2 linked regions of the Oryctolagus cuniculus genome follow. The protein of the gene in region 1 interacts with the protein of each later gene in a pairwise test. Links are inferred from orthologs where the notes say so. Each region holds a gene or a part of one and is shown on either strand. Other genes may lie near its edges.

Region 1 (4,261 bases):
CACAGCAGAGAGCTGGACTGGAAGAGGAGCAGCTGGGACACGAAGTGGCGCCCATCTGGGATGCCGGCGCTGCAGGCCGTGGCTTTACCCGCTACGCCACAGCGCCAGCCCCAGTTTGCTTCTTTCTATAGCAGCAGATGGCCCCGATGTGATAAAGGGTGGAGGTCGAGCTGCAGGGAGCAGCTGTCACAGACGAACGGGGTGGGGGTGGGGGCGACCAGGGGATCCAGAATAGTCTGGCATCAATCTTTGTGACTCTGCCAACAGCGGGCTCTGCTTCTCCACCCTCCATTTTGGGGTGTATTTAGAAGTCACCCCACACCCTCACAGGTAGGCTCCCCCAGCCCTTATACCAGCCCTTGATGTGCAACTCATAACAGCACACACTGAGACAGGCACACACTGCCCTAAACATTTCATTTTATTTGAAAGGCAGAGAGAGAGTCCATCTGCTGGTTGTTCCCTAAACGTCCTCAACAGCCAGGGCTGGGCCAGGCTGAAGCCAGGAGCCAGGAACTCCATCTGGGTCTCCCACATGGGTGGCAGGGGCCCAGCTCAGCACGTGGGCATCCCCTGCTACCTCCGGGGTGTGCATTAGCAGGAAGCCAGAATCAAAAGCCGAGTAAGGACCGCAGCCCTGCATTCTAACGTGGGATGCAGCTAACACTGTTAGACATAAGCCCGCTACAGTAGTGGTCCCGGGCAGTGGGCACGGCGGCCCCCGATGTGCTTCAAGGTTGAGGAGAAGGCAATTCTGAACTTGGGGTCTGTGGCACAACCCACGCCTGGCAAGCATGCTTCTGACCCATGATCCTCAAGGCCACGGACCAGGCACGCTTGGCAGCCAGAGGGAGGTGCGGACGGGGGCTGGCATTGCGGCCACTTTCAGTGTCAGCCTCCCACTTCTGATCCAGCCCCCGGCTAATGCATCTGGGAGGGCCGTGGAAGTTACCCGAGTACTTGGGCCCCTGCACCCATGTGAGAGACCCCGATGGAGTTCCTGACTCCTGGCTCCAGCCGGGCCCAGCCCCAGCTGTTGTGGTCATTTGGGGAGTGAACCAGCGGATGGAAGACCTCGCTCGCTCTCGCTCTCCCTCCTTCCCTCCCTCCTCCTCCCTTCCTTTCACATAAATAAATCTTAACAAAAAAGGATGCAGACAGGGCTTGGGGTACCCTGAAGGTCACCGGACTTGGAGGGGCAGGAGCCACGGTGGTGTGTTAGGGGCGGGGAAGGGACAGGAGCCAGCCAGGAACAGTGTGGCCCTACCTTCTCCCCAAGCAGACATCAGCTCTCTGGAATTTGTCTAAATTTAGCAGGTGCCTGGGAAAGAGGCAGATAAGCAAAGCCAGGGAGGGGGAGGCCCCCATATATAGTGGGGAGGCCAGGACCCCACTCAGTCCGTCTCTGGGTGGCCCGTGCCTGCGTGGTGCCTGGTGTGACTTCTCTCACGATGCCGGAGCCGGGGAAGAAACCAGGTAGCTCCCAGCCTGGGGCTGGGTCTGAGTGGGGGGCTGGGGGCAGGGGGTGACTGCAATCGGGGGGCAGGACTGGGAGGGAGTTCTTGAGGGGTTAATGAGGATGAGGTCTCGGAGCTCCAGGGCACGGTAGGGGTCCCCCCAGGTCCCATTCTAAGTCTCCATTTCTATGCTCCAGTCCTCTGAAGACAGAGAAGGTGAACCCAGGATCAGGGCCCCAGAGCGAGGCGAGAACCCAGGCAGGGGGTTGCCAGCCCGCATCCCGGTCCCAGAGCACAGGGGGACCAAGCTCAGCCCAGACGTGAGCCAGGCTCAATGCATGCCCTTGGACCAGCCCCACCCGCCTTGTGCCTGTCTCCCCATCCACGCGGGAGGGCTGGGCTCGGCTCTGCCAGCTGATAGCCAATCCACCTCCTTAGCCTGCACCTGCGTGGCCCCCACGCCAGGCCTGGCCCACGCTGCGAGTGATGCAGTCCCTCTTCTCAGGGAGAAAACATACAAGTGGCTCCTGAGGCCGGGCCAAGGGCAGAGAGACCACAGAGCAGTGGCTAGGGCCTGAGCCCGGCCCTAACCAAGGCTGTCCTGGGCAGGCCCCCAGCCCCCCACCCCCAGCCACCTCCCAGGCCCGCTTTATCTCAGTTGTCCCTTGGAGGACAAATTTAGCCACATTCCACGTAAGCAGAGCACCTGCCCCTTGTCAAGGGCCCCAGACGGTGGGGGGATGGGGGTGGGGGCTGGGCTGAGCAGCCGTGTGCCCAGGCAGGGAGAGCAGAGTATTTAGGGAGCACACCTAGCAAAGTCTGGTGTGGAGGTTAGGACCACAGCCTTGGCTCCCCTGCCTACTGGCTGCGAGATCCTGGACAAACCACTCAACCTGTCTGAGCCTCAGTGTCCTCATCTGGGAAATGGACGTAATAAGGGCACCCACCTACCTCCTGGAGCTGCTGGAGAAGTCAGAGGTGCTGTGTGGAAGGACTTAATAAGAGAGGAGCAGGGGCAGGTGCACAAGCCGCAGGGGCCCCTGCAGCCTCCATCTGGCTCTCTAGCCTCAGCCTTCAGCAAGAAGCCGCGCTCGGCGGAAGTGGCCGCAGGCAGCGCCGCCGTGTTCGAAGCTGAGACCGAGCGGGCCGGGCTGAAGGTGCGCTGGCAGCGGGGAGGCAGTGACCTCAGTGCCAGTGACAAGTATGGCCTGGTGGCCGAGGGCACACGTCACACGCTGACGGTGCGGGACGCATGCCCTGCTGACCAAGGCTCCTATGCGGTCATCGCTGGCTCCTCCAAAGTCAAGTTTGACCTCAAGGTCATAGAGGCAGGTAAGACTCAGGTCAGCCCGATTTTTGGGGTTTGCAGTTCTTGGGGCAGAGGCGATCCTGCCGCTGCCTACCCGGCCCCCCCAAGGTACAGGAGGCGCTGTCACATGGCCTTGCCCAGAGACCCCTCCCTGGTTCTACAGCAAGACCTTCCTGCTTGAGCCGACCGATGGGCAGCTGGGGGGAGTTCAGAGATGGACAAGGCCTCCCAGGGCAGCCCCACACACAGATGGCCATGAGATGGGCCAGCTGTTCTCCCAAGGGAGCCCTCAGAGTGTGGGTGAGGAGGGAGCCCAGGGCAGCCTGGGGGAAGTGAGCAGGGCTGAACCGCAGAGCTGTTGAGAGCAGAGCAGGGATGCAGAGCCAGGAGGAGAGGCTGAGAGGGAGCAGTGCAGGCCGGGCCCCTGCTCAGCATGAGCCACAGCTCAGGGGCCCCGGGCCAGAGTGTGCGGACAGGGCCAGAGCGCTCTGGACATCCTCATTGAACCAGAGGCGTGCTCAAGAGTCATACTTGGGAGAGAGAGGGCGGAGGGGAGGGTCTCGGATTGGAAGCTCTGCCATGACTTCCCGCCTGGCCCCTCCAGAGAAGGCAGAGCCCGTGCCAGCCCCTGCACCTGCTGAGACCCCTGGAGCCCCCGGAGTAGCCCTGGCCCCAGCGCCCGAGCTGGAAGGCAGTGCCCCAAGTCTCGAAGGTGAGAGGGCTGGGCAGGTCAGGGCTGGCGGGTACAGGGGTGACCCTGGGTGGGTCTCAAAGGCCTTTGCTCATAGGGTCAAACTCAGCAGCTGCCGCCGGCCCTGCCCCTGGGTGCCCTGGGGCCCCTGATGACGCTATTGGGCTCTTTGTGATGCGGCCGCAGGACGGCGAAGTGACCGTGGGTGAGTGTGGGTTGCTGTGCAGAGGGTGGGGTGGGGAGGCAGGCGGCAGGGCACCCTCGAGCCCAGCTTGCTGCCCCTCTCCTGCAGGTGGCAGCATCACCTTCTCGGCCCGCGTGGCCGGGGCCAGCCTCCTGAAGCCACCCGTGGTCAAGTGGTTCAAGGGCAAGTGGGTGGACCTGAGCAGCAAGGTGGGCCAACACCTGCAGCTGCACGACAGCTACGACCGGACCAGCAAGGTGGGGCCTGCAAGGCATGGGGGTCTGGGGCACACAGGGGCCTCCAGTGTTGTAGGCAGAGCCGATCCGCTCAGGTGTGCAGGCTGTGCACTGCACAAAGTGCTTCTTAAATAGATGCCATCACACACTAGGGTGCGATTACAATCATGCACCAGCAGATGGCAGTCACGGGCCTTGAGACAGGACGAAGGCGGGTGGGGCATTGGCCACTCCCAGACTCTGCTAGGGGCCGTGTCCGCTGATACCTCATCCCCACAGGTCTACCTATTTGAGCTGCACATCACTGACGCCCAGGTGGCCTTCGCCGGTGGCTACCGCTGCGAGGTGTCCACCAAGGACAAATTTGACAGCTGCAACTTCAAC
Region 2 (3,217 bases), on another chromosome or scaffold:
AGGAGGCTTGCATCATGTGCTAATGGCTAATAAGAGGGATAGTCACTTGAAAGTGTCCTTGGGACATTTTTCTACTATAATCTTTAAAAGGAAGAGCTGCTGTTGACTTCAGTTTTAGTATCAACTTATGCTTATTCTCGTTATTCTTGTGTAAAAGATCTAATTTATTTGGATTCGTGCCAGCACTAGTATCCCTCAGTAAAGACTAGAATCAGACTTTGCCGTGACTAAAAGCAGTGGTCCTTAGGGACTTCCCTTGTTCCATTTCCCATGACAGGCATTGTTCTGGACTCTGGGGATGGTGTAACTCACAACGTCCCCATCTATGAGGGCTATGCTTTGCCCCATGCCATCATGCGTTTGGATCTGGCTGGTCGGGATCTCACTGACTATCTCATGAAGATCCTCACGGAGCGTGGCTACTCTTTTGTCACCACTGGTGAGTGTGTGTGTGTGTGTGTCTCATCTGCCACAGCATGTCTCTGCTTTTTTTTCCTCCCTCAGTGAATCCACCTTCCTCCCCACAATTGACTCTCTTTCTTCAGAGCTTGACAGTGATGCCCTTTATTTCTGCAGCTGAACGTGAAATTGTCCGTGACATTAAAGAGAAGCTGTGTTATGTTGCCCTGGATTTTGAGAATGAGATGGCCACAGCTGCCTCCTCCTCCTCCCTGGAGAAGAGCTATGAACTGCCTGACGGCCAAGTCATCACTATTGGCAACGAGCGCTTCCGCTGCCCTGAGACACTCTTCCAGCCCTCCTTCATTGGTGAGTTGCTGGGTTTAGGACAGAGGCACAGAAAATCGTGGGGTCTCCTAGAATAAAATCTCCTATAGTTAGTAGGGATTAAGGATCCATGAGTTAAAAGAAGTCGTAGCATGGAGTCTCACACAGCTCAGCCTCAAGTACGGCTGGCTCATTAAATGGAAAGTCTGTGTTCTGCTCCAGTGATATAATAAAGGATGGCACACTGACTTCATCTCAAAATAAGGGACAAGACGGAGTAGTAACAGAATATCACGTGTCTGCAGGAAAGGAACAATTACTCATAGAGTTGATTTATTCCAATAAGTTCCATTACCAAGTAGCGGAATTTGCCTTTTAAGTGAATCATCATCAAATGCAATGGCAATCCTTCTCCTAATAAGTGGATGCTAGTATGTCATCAAATATCTTTCCTTAGAGATGATTCTAAGAGGAAACTTGTCAGGCTCTGATTTAATCTGAAAATTAAAAATTCCCTTATTTTTAATTTAACTGTATGTTTTGTCATTTTCCAATACATCTCCACACATCTGATAGTTACAGAAGGTATTCACTCTAAATAAATGCTAAACAGAGCTTTAGTTTCTTGGTAGTCTTTTGAGGATCATCTGCCAGCACTTTTAAAAGACACTTGTTCCACCTGTTCCCCCCAGTGTGTCTTATAGGGGAACATATGTTTCAGAGACAAATGGTGACAGCTTAGCAACAAAGAGAAGTCCTGTTCTCTCTCCTCCACCCTAAATGTGTTAAATGTACTGTGATTTTTTTTTTTTAATAAACTTGCTTCTAGGTATGGAATCTGCTGGCATTCATGAAACTACTTACAATAGCATCATGAAGTGTGACATTGACATTCGCAAAGACCTGTATGCCAACAATGTCTTATCTGGAGGCACCACCATGTACCCTGGTATTGCTGATCGAATGCAAAAGGAAATCACTGCCTTGGCTCCCAGCACCATGAAGATTAAGGTAAAGACTTTTGTGGGGAGGAGAGACAAGGCAGATCTTGACTTCTGAAGCAGAACTTCATTCCTAATTCCTTTACCCTCACACTTACCTCCCTGTCTCCAATAGACTTTACCCTTTACCTTTTAAAGAACTTTTTCTGATTTTTTTTCTAGCACTTTTCCCTAGATAGGAAACTCTAAATTAAATGCTTTCAAGCAGCAACTAAAAATAAATATTTTTTTAAAATTAAATCTTTTAAACATTTTAGAAGTCCCCAACTTTTGGGGTAACCTCCATCCTTGCATTTAGCTTGCTGTCATACAATTCTCTAGTTCAGAGAAGTGGGTGAAATTCTACCTTGTAGAATGTTTAATAATGGAAATGATGAAATAGAGGAAAGTTCCTAACACTTGATTGGCCACATTATTTTTTGGAGTGAAGTATCTCACATCACAGTGAATGAATTTCTAATATTTTTTCTGTGACTCTTCCCAACAGATTACTTGTTATGTTGCTTAGAACTACAGAGTTCACTGGAAGTTTCTGTTTTCTTTCTGCAGATTATTGCTCCCCCCGAGCGTAAATACTCTGTCTGGATTGGGGGCTCTATCCTGGCTTCTCTGTCCACCTTCCAGCAGATGTGGATAAGCAAGCAAGAGTATGATGAGGCAGGACCATCCATTGTCCACCGCAAATGCTTCTAAGGTGCCTTCTCTCCTAGTCTACCCTGTGTTCAGGATGACAGTATTATGCTTCTTGGAGTCTTCCGAGCCACCCCCTGCCCCATCTCTCATCAATCATTGTACAGTTTGTTTACACACGTGGAGTTTGTTTGTGCTTCTTATATTTATTGCTTTATAAATAAACCAGGCCAGGACTTGCAACCTACAGAAGCTTCTATTTCTTTTTGGGGTAAGCATGAGGTGGGGCCAGTGTTTGCTTTGACATTGTAATATTATGGAACCATAAGTTTATCAGATGAATCCGTGGGACATATACCTGGGGGTTAGAATGATAATTTTTTTATACTTTGGAACAGAATCGTGAATATATTTCATATCTGAAAAGTAAATCGTGTTTGATTCTCTATAATCAAGAAGTGAAACGGCCAACTAAAATTAGTGGCTATGAATGACTAAATGACCAAAAGTTGTTGCTTTAGCAGATATTCAAATCATTTTTGTAACTTTGCAGAAAAGCACATACATATTGGTAATGAGAAAGTCCAAGACTATTTTAAATAAATTGGTTTAGTTTCTCAATCTTTTAATTCTTCACTTGTCTTCCTGATATGCATGAAACACAAAAGCCACGGTCCAGTCACATCCTACTTTAAATAAATCAAGACCACTGTGCATGTTCAAAATATGTGTGAGGCAGCAGGAATCAGACATTTTTGCATAATTGATGACTAATTTGTGAGACAAAAGTCTTCAACCTTTTTATTTCTTTGAAATCTTGGAACTGGGGTTTTGGGTGGCATGAAGTCCCGAGGGAGTAA

The links.
Region 2: the proteins of MYBPC3 (region 1) and ACTC1 interact in a two-hybrid assay, tested with the Homo sapiens proteins (2 studies listed by IntAct). The link is inferred for Oryctolagus cuniculus from reciprocal best matches to the Homo sapiens genes MYBPC3 and ACTC1.

What each region holds. Positions count from the first base shown.
Region 1 is NC_091432.1:18,629,446-18,633,706, forward strand, and holds the start of MYBPC3 (myosin-binding protein C, cardiac-type), read left to right. Parts: upstream 1-1,368; 5' UTR 1,369-1,451; coding exon 1,452-1,476; intron 1,477-2,522; coding exon 2,523-2,789; intron 2,790-3,370; coding exon 3,371-3,478; intron 3,479-3,554; coding exon 3,555-3,662; intron 3,663-3,749; coding exon 3,750-3,898; intron 3,899-4,156; coding exon 4,157-4,261. UniProt on the Homo sapiens protein: Thick filament-associated protein located in the crossbridge region of vertebrate striated muscle a bands. In vitro it binds MHC, F-actin and native thin filaments, and modifies the activity of actin-activated myosin ATPase.
Region 2 is NC_091443.1:57,697,220-57,700,436, reverse strand, and holds the end of ACTC1 (actin, alpha cardiac muscle 1), read left to right. Parts: intron 1-277; coding exon 278-439; intron 440-576; coding exon 577-768; intron 769-1,555; coding exon 1,556-1,737; intron 1,738-2,276; coding exon 2,277-2,420; 3' UTR 2,421-2,604; downstream 2,605-3,217. UniProt on the Homo sapiens protein: Actins are highly conserved proteins that are involved in various types of cell motility and are ubiquitously expressed in all eukaryotic cells.